2 linked regions of the Caenorhabditis elegans genome follow. The protein of the gene in region 1 interacts with the protein of each later gene in a pairwise test. Each region holds a gene or a part of one and is shown on either strand. Other genes may lie near its edges.

Region 1 (6,592 bases):
AGACCGGGATAAAAAACAGGTAACTGGGCGATCAATGTTTTTTGTTTCATTGACGCACGTTTTTTCATTGCTTCTTTATGAAGTCTTTGTTCAGTTTCAGTCATTTCTTCCCATTCTCGATCTTCTGGTGTTTTTAAATATTTATCTTCATCGCTATCTGCATCATCATCCGAATGTAGAGCATCATCCAATACTTCTATGACATCGTCATCTATAATTGATTTAAATGAATAAAAGTATAACTTAATTGTTTCAATTTTGATACTGGGCAAATTTTTACCGTCTTCAGCTTTTCCAGGGCTCTTCGGTTTAGTATCGTCATGATCACTTTCTGGGTCGCTTTCGAATTTTGAGTATTTCTTGGGGCCAGCTGGTGAGTCTATAGTGAATTCGACAATTTCTTTCTCTTCCTTTTCTTCTAATATCTCAATTGGCGACATTTCTACATCTTCAATCACGAGAACATCGTCATCTTTCTTTTTGTAGTTCGGGTCGAGAACTGAAATTTTCAAAATTAAATCACTATAAAATGTATGTGGTTTAAAATACTTCTATCAAAGAGCTTTGCATCTGCTGGAACATCTGTATGTTTTGACTTTTTGTGTGGCGATTTGTCATTATCAGGAGAAGTTGTGCTGGATCTAAAAAATCAAACAAAAATTATTAATTTCTTTTCAGAAAGAAACGAACTTACTTTTTATGACGATCAATATGCCTTTTGTGTTTTTCTGAGTCTCTTTCAGACGAACGATCTCTGTTACTTCTGTTTGTGCGGTGCCCATCTGTTTCGTGTTTTCTATGATGGTGATGATGTCTATGTTCATGTACTTTCTGATCTCTTCCAGATCTTTCCTGTCGTCCTAAAAGTATTAATAAGTACCTCTTATTCTATTTGCTGATTACCTTTGAAATCACGATCTTTTTGTCGAGCATCTGGTCCACGCACGTCTCTTCTGTCATCTCGTTTGTCCTTTTCCCGTTTTTTATCTCTTTCTTTATCTCGATATCGGTCCTCTTTTGCCTTTTGCTGTGAATTAATAATTTTAAAACAGTAATACACAAAAATTAACATACAGCGTTTTTAGGCTGTATTGAAAACCGTTGTTCTGTGGTATCATCATCGCTTTCACTGTTCTTCCGCTTGCTCAGACGACTTAATATGCTTTCACGCATTTTTGATTCCAAACCTGAAATTTATAATTAGTAGTTTCAAATTTAATCACTTTATATACCTTTGTTCGACTTGGCTGGATTTGGCTCATCGGAACTCGACGCTCTTTGACCTAGAAATAATAAGTTACACTCAAAACTTGTGAAACCTACTTACTTTTCTTGTGACTTTCATCTGACAGCTCACCTTCGTCATGAGAACTTCCCAAGTGGTCGCTCATAATGATTTTATCTTGAAAACGAAATAATTCTGAATATAAATTTAACAATTTTGATCAAGAAAACATTTTCGAATAGGAGTACGGTGGACAAGTACGCAAACACCGATTACACCTCGTGCGCGCATTCTTACGACACTTGTTTTTTTTATCGTTTTTAAAAACAGCGACGACTTCTTAAATAATCTTTTATCTATAAGTTTCATGTGTTCCCTCTTTTTTATTTATATAAATTCACTGTTACATTGGTTTCTTCGTTAAATATTAGTAGATTTCCAGAAAATGGCTCTTCCCGGAGAACGATTCCACGTTCTTGCTCAATTGGAGCATCTTCAATCGAAATACACCGGTACGGCCATGCGACATGAACCGTCACGAATGGATTGTGAATCAGGTTTGTTTCTCTCTTTTTCTCATAAATTTCTTTAAAACGGTAAACGGCTACTGCCAAAATCTATAGAAAGTTTGAATAAACAAATAATATTCCAGCACCGCGACACTCGCGCCTTTCAAATGTCTCATCCCGGAATGAACACGTATATTGCCGTTGTGGAGAACGAGAGCCGAGCTCGAACCCGCTTCAATCTGATAAATCGCATGATTCAGCCGTGTGGACCGCCTCCAGAGAAGAATCCTCTTGATGACGCCTAACTATCTGAATAACTTATTTTATATTTTTTATGAAGTAATTTGATCTCCATTCAATGTGTTTGAGAATATTTAACCTTGAGTAGAAATTTGGAAAAAATGTTGGTTACTCTATGATACTTCATGGTAGCTCGTGTTAGTGATAATTTATTTTAGAAAAGATAACAATTCAGAGACAGTGTTGATGTTAAGAGCGCTTGCACCAATAACTGTTATCCGAATGTAAGTTTATTCAATTATGAAAATTGTAAAGCAAAACAAATCAGGACTTCAACGTACAAAAATCGTCTTGGACAGGAAAAGAGTCCTTACCTCCTCCAGCATGCAAACAATCCCATCGATTGGTATCCGTGGGGACAAGAAGCATTCCAGAAGGCTAAAGATAATAACAAACCTATCTTCCTGTCAGGTAGATAATCAAAATATATTATCAAACAAACTTTAATATTTCAGTTGGATATTCAACTTGTCACTGGTGTCATGTGATGGAAAAAGAATCATTTGAAAATGAGGCAACAGCAAAAATCCTGAACGACAACTTCGTGGCTATCAAAGTTGACAGAGAAGAACGACCAGACGTTGATAAACTCTATATGGCTTTTGTCGTGGTATGAAACAAAATTAAAATTGTTTTAATCAATATCTCCATCTCAGGCTTCAAGTGGACACGGTGGATGGCCAATGTCAGTTTTCCTAACACCGGATCTTCATCCAATCACTGGCGGAACCTATTTTCCACCAGACGACAACCGTGGAATGCTCGGCTTTCCAACTATCCTCAACATGATTCATACTGAAGTAGGTGCCACAAAATCTTTTCATTTAAAAATTAGCCAAAGTTTTAAAATTTTTCAGTGGAAAAAAGAAGGAGAGAGTTTGAAACAACGCGGAGCCCAAATTATCAAACTTCTTCAACCTGAAACTGCTTCTGGGGATGTCAATAGATCCGAAGAAGTGTTCAAATCAATATATTCTCACAAACAATCATCTTTTGACAGCAGACTTGGAGGATTTGGCAGAGCTCCGAAATTTCCAAAAGCTTGTGATTTAGATTTTCTAATCACTTTTGCTGCAAGCGAGAATGAATCCGAAAAAGCCAAAGACAGTATCATGATGCTTCAAAAAACTTTGGAATCAATGGCTGATGGAGGAATCCATGATCATATTGGAAATGGATTTCATCGATATTCTGTCGGATCCGAATGGCATATTCCACATTTTGAGAAAATGTTGTATGATCAATCTCAGCTATTGGCTACATATTCAGATTTTCATAAATTGACAGAAAGAAAACATGATAATGTAAAGCATGTCATTAATGACATCTACCAATACATGCAAAAGATCAGTCATAAAGATGGTGGATTCTATGCTGCAGAAGATGCTGATTCCTTGCCAAATCATAATTCTTCGAATAAAGTTGAAGGAGCGTTTTGTGCTTGGGAGAAAGAAGAAATTAAACAATTATTGGGAGACAAGAAAATTGGATCAGCTTCACTTTTCGATGTAGTTGCTGATTATTTCGATGTTGAAGATAGTGGAAATGTTGCACGATCTTCGGATCCCCATGGTGAACTGAAGAATAAAAATGTCCTGAGAAAGTTGCTGACTGATGAGGAGTGTGCCACGAATCACGAAATATCTGTTGCGGAACTCAAGAAAGGAATCGATGAAGCAAAAGAAATTTTGTGGAATGCTCGAACACAAAGACCAAGCCCACATCTTGATTCAAAAATGGTTACTTCGTGGCAAGGACTAGCAATCACAGGACTTGTGAAAGCATATCAAGCTACTGAAGAAACAAAATATTTGGATCGAGCTGAAAAGTGTGCAGAATTCATCGGAAAATTTTTAGACGATAATGGAGAGCTTAGAAGATCTGTATATTTGGGTGCTAATGGAGAAGTTGAACAAGGCAATCAAGAAATAAGAGCATTTTCTGACGATTATGCGTTTTTGATTCAAGCTCTTTTGGATCTCTATACAACAGTTGGCAAAGATGAATATCTCAAGAAAGCCGTTGAGCTTCAGAAAATTTGTGATGTAAAGTTCTGGAACGGAAATGGATACTTCATCAGCGAGAAAACCGATGAAGATGTTTCTGTGAGAATGATTGAAGGTTACTATTTTAATTTTGATTAGTACACATAACACTTAAATTTCAGATCAAGATGGAGCAGAGCCCACAGCCACTTCAATCGCATCAAACAACCTTCTTAGGCTTTATGACATTCTTGAAAAGGAGGAATATCGTGAGAAGGCGAATCAGTGTTTCCGGGGAGCTTCAGAGCGACTGAATACGTAATATCGAACAACTTTTGCTTGAGCTCGCAACATTTTTAATTTTAGGGTCCCAATCGCCCTACCAAAAATGGCAGTCGCACTTCATCGATGGCAAATTGGATCTACCACATTTGTTCTCGTTGGTGATCCGAAATCTGAACTTTTGTCCGAAACTCGAAGCCGACTGAATCAAAAGTTCTTGAATAACCTGTCTGTTGTACATATTCAATCAGAAGAAGATTTGTCAGCATCGGGACCTTCTCATAAGGCAATGGCTGAAGGACCGAAACCTGCAGTGTACATGTGTAAAGGATTCGTTTGTGATAGACCAGTTAAAGCCATTCAGGAATTAGAAGAACTATTCAATAAATTCTGAATGTGTAGATTTTGTCTTATCCAGATACTGTAAATATGTCATTTTTTGTCAGTTGAATAAACGCTTAGTCATTTATCGAACATCAGTTTCAGCTTTGTGGCGACCACCACGTGTCTACTGATAAATTAACAGATTGTACTACTTTGCATGTAATGTGCTAGAGGACGGTTCTCTTATCATCACAGGCACTGACGACACTGCCAAAGTTTTACAAGCTAATTTATTAGCGCTCTTCGGCCGCAATGGCACGATTTGAATTGGTTTATTGATTCCAGAGACTAGTTTCAGTTTTTGATAAGAATGAATTATTATTCATTTTCTAGTTTATGAATATATATGTAACTAGGGAAGCCTATTTATGATTTTTCTAATTTTTTAAAATTGTTATTTTAGAGAGGTGTGAAATTAAAATGATATATATTTTCGAGTACTTTAAAAAATAAAAACGGTACATCCTATATTAAATTTTTGATTTTAGATCCTTCCAAGTTATTGACAAGTATTAACTGCACTTCTCATAAAAATTTTTCAAATAGATCTATTTAGTCTGGAATAGGAATACTTTTGGCAATTTTCTTGAGAATCATAGAAGACGAATTTCTGAACTGCTCTTTGTGAAGCCACGCCCATATATTGGCATTTTTGTATCCAATTTTTTGTAGAGTACCTGAATCATTATCACTACATCTGCTAAACAATATATGGAAGTTCTATGAGAGGTGAAAGGTAAATCATATAACAACTGTAATAACATAGAAATGATTGTAGTATATTTCCAATTAGGCTGAGTTGATCTTATTGAAGAGTTTGAATCATAGCAATTTTTTCCTCTTTTAGTATTTTTCAAAACAAATTTTCACAATGTTAGATGTAGTATTTAGCATTAAGGCATCTGTAATCTCCCAGAAATGTTTTGGGAATAAAACCCTTTGACTCTTTGGTCCTTTTTTGCTCCAAATAATATCTGATTTTAACCCGTTCTGATCTACTTTTTACCTTTCGATCGTCACATCCGCGTACACGTTTCTCTTGCTCTCAATTGCTTATCTTTATGGCCTTTTCCCCCACTTTTTGTCGACTATCATGCGGACGTGGCTTCCTTGCTCCCTCCCGGTTTTTTTGAAAACACTTGTGAATTTATTTTTTGTGGTCAAAATTACGAAACATTTGAATTCTCAATCTATTTATAGACCGGGTGTGGTATGTTATGCCATGTTTTTGTCATTGCCAAATGAACATCGATATTTTAATTTTCTGAACTTACCGTACCCCCTGCGTTACTATTTTATTTTTAATTTGTATAATTTCATTGCTATAATTTGTTGTCCTTGAAACATTGAAGATATCGAAGAAATAATGACAAAAATCAGATAGAACAATTTTTCCTACTCATCAACTCACATTTTTCTATTTTCTCTTGTGCGAAAAAAATAGTATATTGGGAATATTTATAGTATTGCAACTTTTCTCTTAGTTCGCAGAGTTGCAATACTACTAGATCCCTAATAGAGGAAATATGGTGACCAGCTTTTTGCAATTGGAAAGTTGGGAAAAAAGTATATATATTAATAGACTTACACTCTTGTAGTTCGTAGAATTTTTCAGGAAATCTGACACGCAAGACTTTTTCAAAAAGTTTTTTTTTTTAATTTGGCAATCTGCCAAAACGTTTACTGAACATTTTGAAAACATCTACCAGTACCTTTAACACAACGAAAAATTGTTCTAAGCAATATTAACTGTGATAATTGATGTTAAGACCTGAAATTTAATCACAAATTTCACCTGGAAATGACAGTAATCGGCTTCTAAATACTGTCGACACAAGTGCCATACCTAAGATTCCAATCCTATTACCATGTTTCCCAATTTCATTCTCTTTCGTATCTCTATTTCT
Region 2 (9,507 bases), on another chromosome or scaffold:
GGATTGCATTGATTGAAAATTTCGCAACCGCCTTGAACATTTTATTGTACATTTAATTTTCTCTTATCTTTGCCGATGTGGAATTTTATCAATCTTTTTTTTCTTGCTTACCCCCTCTCCCCACCCTACAAAAAAGCACAACTGATATGATGAGATCAGTGCGACTAGACGTACTTTCTGAAAGTGCCGGAAAGTGTGCCTTGCCAGAGCAGCTGAAAAACAAAATACTCTTTTGTACTTTCCGCTTCGAATGTGCACTTTTAAATAGACGTACATGCACTATAGTACGAGTGCCGGTGGGCGCGCACAGAAAAAATTTATATATATCCATATATATATATATATTTCAGCACAGCGCCCTCCGCCTCCCAATCGGCCTATCTGGTTGTCTAGGACATGCAGTGCGAGCGTGCGCGTGCGTGTATTTGAACAACCTTTTCGATATCGTCGCACCCACAACTGTTTCGCCTGTATTCCGTGCAATTCATCCCACCACCCATCTGCTATCGTCTTTCACGTCGCCCTGCCTATTTGACTATGATAGTGTTGGGAGTTGCTGGAGGGGGAAGGAAAGCGGCAGATGCACTTTTGCTCGGAGTTTTTTTTTGTCATGTCGGCGGCCGACGCGGCGCCGGCGGTCGTGGTGCAGCAGCTCCCCCATGTGTCCTTGATTTTCCCATTCGTTCTACACACTCTCATTTTCAAATGAGAGTTTTTCCGCGCAGGGTGGCCGTCCCCGTCCCCCAATCTATCTTTCCACATACACCGTAGCAGCAGCAGCAGCAGCAGTAGCAGCAAAAGCACCCTTTCGCAAGGGCGCTAGACCGGTTTTTCTTTCCACAAGGCGGGCGGGCGCGCGCGCGGCGAGCGCTCGTCCCAATGTCCTCACTTTTATCCTTCCACCCCTCCTCCTCCTGTCTGGCCCTCCCCTTCTCCCACTATCACCACAGTCTGGTCTCTCTCTCCCACGTTGTATTTGTGTGTGTGTGTGTGTGTGTGTGTGTGTGTGTGTGTGTGTGTGTGAGTGTGTGAGCGCTGTTAGAGCGAAATGGAAAGTGAAAAAGGTGAGAGCGAGGAGAATTCAGAGAAGCACACAGAAAATGTGGGGGGGGAGAAGAAAGGGCTGTTTCTGTCTGGCCTGCAACGCGCCGCAGCCGCACGGTTAGGGCGCTGCTACGCGTCGCGTCGGCAGGCGCGCTTTCGATCTCTCCCCTCTTATTCCTACCGCCACCCCGCAAGCTTCGCCTTCGCCGCGCTGTCTAATACGCTTTCTATCCGTCCATCTCTCTTTCCATATCTCTCTCTCTCCGTCTTTTTGATCCATCGCTACGTTGTTCTGTATACAACGCAGAAAGACTACGTGAAGGCGACGCACTGCCGCCGCAGCAGTCCCCAGCAGCAGCAGCATCCTTTCCTTTCTGTTTCGCCCTCGTTTCCGCATCCATTGCTTTTCTTCTTCTCCATCTCTTCATCTTTCACTTTCCAAACTGTTTCTTGTACGATTGCACTTTCGTTTCTATTCCCTCCCCGTCGGTTTTTCGCTTTCCCTCGTTGTTTCTTCGAACCTGACTTGACTAACTAGGGATTTTTTTTGTTTTTCTATATAGTGTTTTTAGAGTTTTTATAGCGAAAATTTGAAAAAAAAATGAATGCTTTAAGTTTTTCGCCTTTTTTCGAGGTTTCAAAGGTACCTTACAAACGCCTGTTAAGTTTTCTGATCTAAAACATAAAAAAATTATGTAAACATTTGAGACATTTCTGATATAAAATGTTTATACGCAGCATAAGAAGTGCATAAGAAATTTTAATTTTTGCCTAATCAATAATTTTTTTGTTAAATTCATATCCTTGAAATGTTTCATTCAAACTTTTGATTTTTGAACTTTTGCGTACCCTCATCATTGGGAACACAACCCATTTGTACCTGTTCCACAATTTACCTAAAGATCAATTTTCGCATTTATTTGCCCAGTCAGTAACGTGATGTTTGTTTCTCCCCCCCCCCCCCCTTCTCCACCTTTCCTCTTATTCTTGGTTTTCCCCCCTTCTCTTTTGCGTACTATTTCGGATCATCACAAAGGTCGATTTTCTGCACCTCTGCGCTTCACCATCCAACATGATATCTCTCTCGTTCGCTCGCCCAGAAGTCATTTCGAACTGATTTGCCAAAAAGAGGACGCGCGTGAGATAGAGGAAAAGGGAGCGAGCGCAGAAGCAGCGCGAGGTGACAGAAAAACGCCTGAAAACACGTTTTCTTCTGTCGTTCCCCTCCCACTTTCCATTTTTTTTTGCCGCAAGGTTAGATTGCACACGTCAGATGTAAGAACAAAGCACTTTTGTGTGTGTATGTGTGTGTGCGTGTGTGTGTATGGTGACTGTCCCTGTCCCTGTGTGTGAGGCCATTTGCGCACTTGGCACGAAAATCTAGTTTTTCAACGCATTAAAAAGTGAGATAGAGAAGCAACAAAAAAAGAGACACCAACAAGAAAAACTTTATCTCTTTCACTTTTTTTTCACTGTTTGCGTTCGTTCCGTTCCTTGTTAGGGGGAACTTCAATGAGGGGTTTACGTAGACTTTTAGTGCAAGTACTTTCTCTGTTTTCAATTTCAACTGTTTTCAATCTTTGGCTCAGACTTATCAGTATTCTATTTTGTGGCTCGTGTTTCTCTCACGTGACACTTTTCCTCTCCTCCTATCTTTGCCAAATTTTTTTTTCTGATTGCTTCATTTGACTCTTCGTTTTGGCGTATTTCTAACCAAACTCGACTCTCTGATTTTTGCCACGTTTTAGCTGGAGGGTGTCTGTCCCGATTGTGCAGAGAGGTGTATGGCGACAATGTCAAATGATGCCGCCGCTGCAGCAACCTGGCACAACAACACGAGCACACCGATGGACACCACCGAACCAGCCACGAACAGTCATAATCCCGGTGAAACGGCGGTGATCGGTGGCCCAGAGGCCCTATTATTACCATCTGGCAGCGGGCCAGAGGAAATGAATAGGCACCCTCTGTTGATGGCGCAAGCACACGGAGAACACCATCAGCCACGGCTGCTCCATAATTTTCCAGTCATACCTCCACCTATACAGCAACACCAACAACCTCCTCTATTACAACAAGCTCAACCTTCTCAAATACCACATCCAACTCAACCCCAAATAGACCCCACAATGTTCACACAACAGTCTGGATTCAATTGGCCGCCCATAGACCCGAATACAATAGCAGCGTTGGCTCAGGCACAGCTAGCATCTTCTCATGCACAATTTGTGTCGTTGGCTTTAACGCTTGATCCAACGCTATTATCACATTTTTTGGCGACACAGCAGATACCTCCAGTTCCGCAGCCATTAGTGCACAAGAAAGGTGAATAAGCGGGGTGGCTTGGCAAAAGGTCATGAAAAGTGAAAGGCTTTTCGAACAAAAAAAAACTTGATTTTAATCGCGCCAGTAGTCAGGTAGTAAAATGCGCTTTACGTCAATGTCAGAGCGATTTGAAATCTAAAGTGCAAAATTCACAATACCAGATTTATGAATTGTGAATAATATATATTCAAATTTTCAGCGGAGATGGAACTTCGTGTCGGCAATCGTTTCCGCCTCGGTCGCAAAATCGGAAGCGGCTCGTTCGGTGACATCTACTTGGGTCAAAATATTCAAACAAATGAAGAAGTGGCGGTGAAGCTGGAATGTGTCAAATCCAAACACCCTCAGCTGCACATTGAATCACGGCTCTACCGCATAATGCTCGGAGGCATTGGAATTCCAGAGATTCGGTGGTGCGGGCAGGAAGGTGACTACAACGTTATGGTGATGGAGTTACTAGGCCCTTCACTCGAGGATCTGTTCAACTTTTGCCAACGAAAATTCTCGCTGAAAACCGTCCTGCTGCTTGCCGATCAAATGTTGTCTCGTGTGGAATTTATTCATTGCCGAGATTACATTCATCGCGATATTAAGCCGGATAACTTTTTGATGGGTCTTGGAAAGCGAGGAAATCTGGTCTATGTAAGTTTTTCTTTTGTGAGGGATTAGCCAGCCTACTATGTTGTGCCTTTTTTTGCAGATTATTGATTTTGGACTAGCGAAACGCTATCGTGATAGCAAACATCAACATATCGCATATCGGGAAAATAAGAATCTAACTGGAACTGCAAGATACGCCAGTATAAATACTCATCGAGGAATTGGTATGTTTTTGAAGTTGCATTAACAGTGAAGCACTTCAAAGGTGGAGTAGCACCAGTGGGGAAAGTGTTAAAAACTACTCCTATGGAGCCGAAATGAGCGAATAACAAAATAAAACTTTTCAAAAAAAAATTTGAAAATTTTTTATTTACAGTCAAAAAGTGACAAATACTTAGTTTTTACCACTCATAATTTTGAAAGTCGACCAAAAACACATTTTCCTACATTTTTTATAATTTAAATTTGTTGTAATTATTGCGACATTTCTTTGAATTTCCTCAAAAGCTTATGTGTGTTTCAAAAACTTTGGCAATTTGCCAAAACTTTGACCAGAAAATTTAAAAAAAATCTAAAATTTTTTGAAGTGTTTTGTTATGATATTCGGTCGTTTTGGAACATTATAAGTTTATTTAGCAAAAATCCCCTCTAGCGCTGCTCCACCTTTAAAAATGAAACGCAATATTTTTACAGTAACAGTAAAAATCATGATCCTATAATTTTTTTTTGAAAATTTGATAACCATTTCTTCCAACCCAAAGAATAATCCATTATTCGCCCATTCACACGTGGGGTTAGGTTGTCCCATTACGGTTTGATCTACTAAAAATGGGGGAATTTTTTGCCCAAAAAATGTGACGTCAGCAGGCTCTTAACCATGAGAAATCAGTTGAGAAGCCTGCGTCTCTTCTCCCGCATTTTCCGAAGATCTACGTAGATCAAACCAAAATGGGGCACGCTGACACCACGTGCATTCATACAACTTTGAATCAATTTGTTTTTTTTTCAGAACAATCACGAAGAGACGACATTGAGTCTCTTGGCTACGTGTTTATGTACTTTAATCGTGGAACTCTCCCGTGGCAGGGACTAAAAGCTGTCACAAAGCGGCAAAAGTATGAGCTGATATCAGAGAAGAAGATTTCGACGCGAGTTGACGACCTGTGCGCTGGCTACCCCGAGGCGTTTGCCCAGTACCTCAACTATTGCCGTAGTCTTGGATTTGAAGAGCAGCCTGATTATGGTTATTTGAGAAATTTGTTCCGCACGTTATTCCATCGGCAACAGTTTTGCTATGACTACGTGTTTGACTGGAATACATACAAGTGAGTGTTTCCTATTGATTTTTCTATTGATTTGCAAAGATTTTGAAACAAAAAAATATAGAAAATGGAGAAGAAAACGAAGGCAATCCCCTAATTTTTCCAGATTTGACTTGCCATTTTAACTCAAATTCCCCTCAAAAAAAGGTTTCTCACACACGTTCTGTTGTGATGTGTGTGTGTGTATTTTTCTTTGTTGTTTTGTACTTCTTCTTTCTGCTATTTTAATTTTAATATTTCAAGCTGTTTTCTTTCTTGCTTAGAATTTTGATTTCATCATTTTTTCATAAACTATAGCTTATTTCCGTTGGTGTCTCGTCACTGTGATGTTGCTAAACCGACGAGTGAAACAAATAGTATGTAGTGGCTAGATGATAATGCTTTTGAACGAATAACCGGTAAACTAGCGGTGTACTTTGCTTTCATTTTTCTACATTCACCAAATAATACAAAACTACTGACACGCTTTGTGTTTTTACAGATTTCGTCGCAACTGAAACTGATCGCATTGTGTGTCTGAAAATCCAAATAAAAACATACTATCCTAAGAATAGATTTGAACTGCCAGAGGTAAGAGTTGAGCACCACCACCACCGCACGTTTCCAATTTGCACCCGTTTTAACCAATCACTAATTTGGATTTTTGACTTTTTTTTAATTTTGAAAAAATCGAAAAATATCTCTAGTAACTAAAAACAAATTAGTCTTGCATACAGCAAAAAAAATATCTTCAAATTTTTTCCTATATAAAGCTCCGCCCATATCTTGGTTTTTTGGAATATTTTTGAACACGTACACTTTTTCGTTTTAAAGGTGGAAAAGCGCCAGTAAGAAAATGGGAGCAGAAATTGATAAAAAACCACTCCTATAATACAATGCCAAAATTGCCAAATATCATAGTAAAACGTTTCAAAAAAGGATATTGAAAATTCTTTTATTGACAGTTCCAAAGTGGCATTTGCCCCAGGTCTTGCCGCTTTTTTGAAAACGGCGGATCAGAAAAAAATTTTTGCTCCGAATTTTATGGCCTAAATTATTACTTGTGAATTGTAGGGATTCAAGAATGCGACAGTGCTCTAGTTTTGGAAATTTTAAAAGTGGAAAAACTTACGAATTGCCACTTTTTGACTGTCAATAAATATTTTTCAAAAAATTTTCCGAAAAGTTTTACTACGATATTTGGTTTTTTTTGGCACCATAGAAGTGGTTTTTAACAATTCTCCCAATGGTGTTACTTCACTTTTGCAACATTTTCAACCCAAAACTTTGAAAAGTTCACTTAATATTCCCCAACGAGTAATGTACTTATCTGTTTTGAAAAAAATGCCTCAATTTTTCACGAAAATTTAGTTTTTTTTTTGTTTTCCCTGTGTTTTCCTTTGTTGAAAATCTCGTAATTGGAAAATTCAAATTGTTATTTTTTAAAAATTTAAATTACAATTTTCAAATTCCCTGCACTCACCGTACTCGAGCAACTTTGATTCCAGAATTTCAATTTTGCAGATTCTACAACGAAAGTCTGGAGGCTCGGAACAATTTCCAGCAAGCGGTACCAAATCAACGTCGACATTAATTGTATCATCTCCTTTTCAAGTTTGTGCTCCATTTCCTCTTTAATATCTCATTTCTTACCCCCGTTTTGTGATACTATTCATGTTTCATTTGCCTCTTCCTTTTCTCCTCCTTCCTGTCTCTTTTTTTCCTCTGTGTTTTTTTGTTGTTTTCTTAAAAACAACAACAACAACAACAACCTGTTTCTAGTATTTCACTTGCAACGTTTTCTTCCATTTCTCTCTGTTCATTTTCCTCGCTCTGTCATTGATCTTTGTCTCAGTTTTTTCGGATGTATATTTTTACTTTTTTGACTTTTTTTTGTCTTCTTAATTGTTCCAGCTTAACAATCGTCTCTTTCTCTTACGAGTTTGGGTTTTTTGAACTTTTTTTCTAATTTTTCCAATTCATCGTTTACTTCTTTTCATATTATGAATACAATATACTAGATCATAGGATTTTGAATAAAAAACTGCCTTCATCCTTTTCGGACTATCTCTCTTACCTTTCTCACTGTTTCTTTTTTTCTCTCACTCGCTCCCCTCAACCTCTCTCTCTCTCTCACTCTCACTCAATCTGTCGCAATTAAAAGAATATATATATATATACATATAATATATATATATATATATATAACTTACCTCATTATATTGTGATTTAGGAAACAGTAATGTAACTACCACTTTTTTCTAATTTTCCCCCCTCAATCATTCCTTTTTGCGCAGAACGTTTCCAAAAAAAAAAACCAATTCTTGGCAATGCCGTGTGTCGTAAATGTGTCCTTTTTAATTTTACTTTTTCCTTTTTACACTTTTTTTGAAAATTATTGATTAATATGGTGTTTTTTTAATTCTCAAACGTCGCTTCTGCGGGTGAAGAGACCTACTGTATCAAACTTGATCCCCTCAATCCCCCCTCGCCCCGTCCCAATTCCTTTCTTCTCACAAAAGTTCACCTTTTATTTTTGCAGACTGGTAAAATGTATGTTTTGTCATTTTCTTTAATTCCTTATCCTTCTATTTTTTTGTTGTTCAAATGATTTCAAAAAAAAAAACAATTTTTTTCAAGCAAGCATTTTATATGTTGAGCAAATGTATGAGAGCACACTACACAGGTTGGGCGGAAGTGAACATTTAAGGGGATGGGTCAAATTTGAAAAAAAAACAACAACATACATAAGAACATATAAATTCTATATTACAGTAAGAATACGAAAATTGTTAATAGATTGCAATGGCCTTGTTTTGTAAAAAACACATCATTTGAAAAAAATTGTTGCATCAACTACACAAGTGCAAGAGTATTTAATAAAATCCATGTAAATTCAAATATTGCTGTTTTCCTAATTTTTACCTACTACTACCGGTTCAGAGAGTGGTATCAGTTGCAGAAACACAGACATCTTGGGATGTTTCCCAATGGGCGGGGTTGCGGGAAGAGCCGATTTGTGTGGATTTACGGAACGCTTTATAAATCGACACAAAATGGTTTTTCGCGCGCCCGTTCCCTTGGGCCTCGAGATGCATTGGTTTTTCAACTGACTACAATCTCTAGACCGGTGATATGACAAACGTTTGAAAATTTTTCAAAACATTTTATCTTGATATTTTAATTATTCAGTTTTAAGATAACTTTAGCATTTTTAAAGTAACAAATCCAACGCTATTCCACATTTAAGATCCTAATAATTTTTTTCTATTTATAAACAGTATACGAATAACATTTTTTTTCCAAAACATCTGACATTTGCAAAATATTCACAACCTTCCCTAATACAATATGTTAACATTTTAATCTGATTATTTACAGTTATACAGGTAATCATGGATACATCTTGATGCTGGCTACTATTTCGGCGGCTGTTTTACTCCTGGTTGCGCTCTTGTTTGCCATTTGAATTGCAGACGGGAACAAATTACATCCGAGAAAATCCTTGACGTCTCGCCAGATTTGTGCCTGTTTTCGAGCGCTATTCGCAATTATCTGGTTGGTTCGGACGCGCGAGTAGCGGTCGAATGTCTCGCCAAGAGCATCTTCAATGACTTCGAGCAGTGCTTCACGTTCCTCAATCTGAAGAAAACAATTAAGATTGGCTGTAATGAACAATAAAGCTTCAAAAGAAACAGCTAAAATTAAATGTTTTTAGATTAAAAAAAAAGGATTAAATGACGATCCGTTCTTCAAACGCTATGCACTGCGGATCTGGAATTCAGGTACACTGCCTGGTGGTGATTCCACTGGGCTATAATTTAAACCACGGCCTAGCCGGAGACTGTGGCCGATAATCCAGTCGTGGATTGCTCCACCTCACAATAGAGGCTGGGTGAGCCTAGGGGGTGAGACCGGACTTAAACTCGTGACCTCCAGATTGCTAGCGGCCACCACTACCGACTGAGCTATCCTGATTTTAAATACAACATAAATAATTAAGTTTAACTGTGTTAAATGTGTGAAATCAGATGTTCATTCGTTATTTTTTGAACTTCAATTAAATATTATCTACAGAAAATTTAATGTCAACTGATATTAGTAAATTACTTTTTGAAACACTCATATTAACATTCATCTATGTACATTGAGTGGCCGTAGTGAAAATTTAACAATCCCGAGCGTAGTTTTCTTTTTACGTAACAAACTCCCTACTTACTAGCTCAAAAAAAAGACA

The links.
Region 2: the proteins of B0495.5 (region 1) and kin-20 interact in a two-hybrid assay, tested with the Caenorhabditis elegans proteins (2 studies listed by BioGRID).

The regions. Positions count from the first base shown.
Region 1 is NC_003280.10:7,694,112-7,700,703, reverse strand, and holds B0495.5 (thioredoxin domain-containing protein), read left to right. Parts: upstream 1-2,209; 5' UTR 2,210-2,220; coding exon 2,221-2,258; intron 2,259-2,302; coding exon 2,303-2,445; intron 2,446-2,489; coding exon 2,490-2,644; intron 2,645-2,690; coding exon 2,691-2,834; intron 2,835-2,891; coding exon 2,892-4,155; intron 4,156-4,201; coding exon 4,202-4,337; intron 4,338-4,385; coding exon 4,386-4,695; 3' UTR 4,696-4,769; downstream 4,770-6,592. Other genes in the region: cdk-11.1 (Cyclin-dependent kinase 11.1), read right to left, coding at 1-211, 281-499, 550-641, 695-860, 904-1,027, 1,075-1,187, 1,233-1,283, 1,328-1,391; Protein moa-2, read left to right, coding at 1,671-1,782, 1,878-2,029.
Region 2 is NC_003284.9:15,267,014-15,276,520, reverse strand, and holds kin-20 (Casein kinase I), read left to right. Parts: upstream 1-2,781; 5' UTR 2,782-2,828; coding exon 2,829-3,369; intron 3,370-3,568; coding exon 3,569-4,011; intron 4,012-4,069; coding exon 4,070-4,193; intron 4,194-4,978; coding exon 4,979-5,294; intron 5,295-5,397; coding exon of another isoform or gene 5,398-5,416; exon of another isoform or gene 5,417-5,438; intron 5,439-5,772; coding exon of another isoform or gene 5,773-5,788; exon of another isoform or gene 5,789-5,861; intron 5,862-6,794; coding exon 6,795-6,864; 3' UTR 6,865-7,905; downstream 7,906-9,507. Other genes in the region: F46F2.5 (CDT1 domain-containing protein), read right to left, coding at 8,664-8,912. UniProt on the Caenorhabditis elegans protein: Essential serine/threonine-protein kinase that regulates diverse cellular growth and survival processes including Wnt signaling, DNA repair and circadian rhythms. Casein kinases are operationally defined by their preferential utilization of acidic proteins.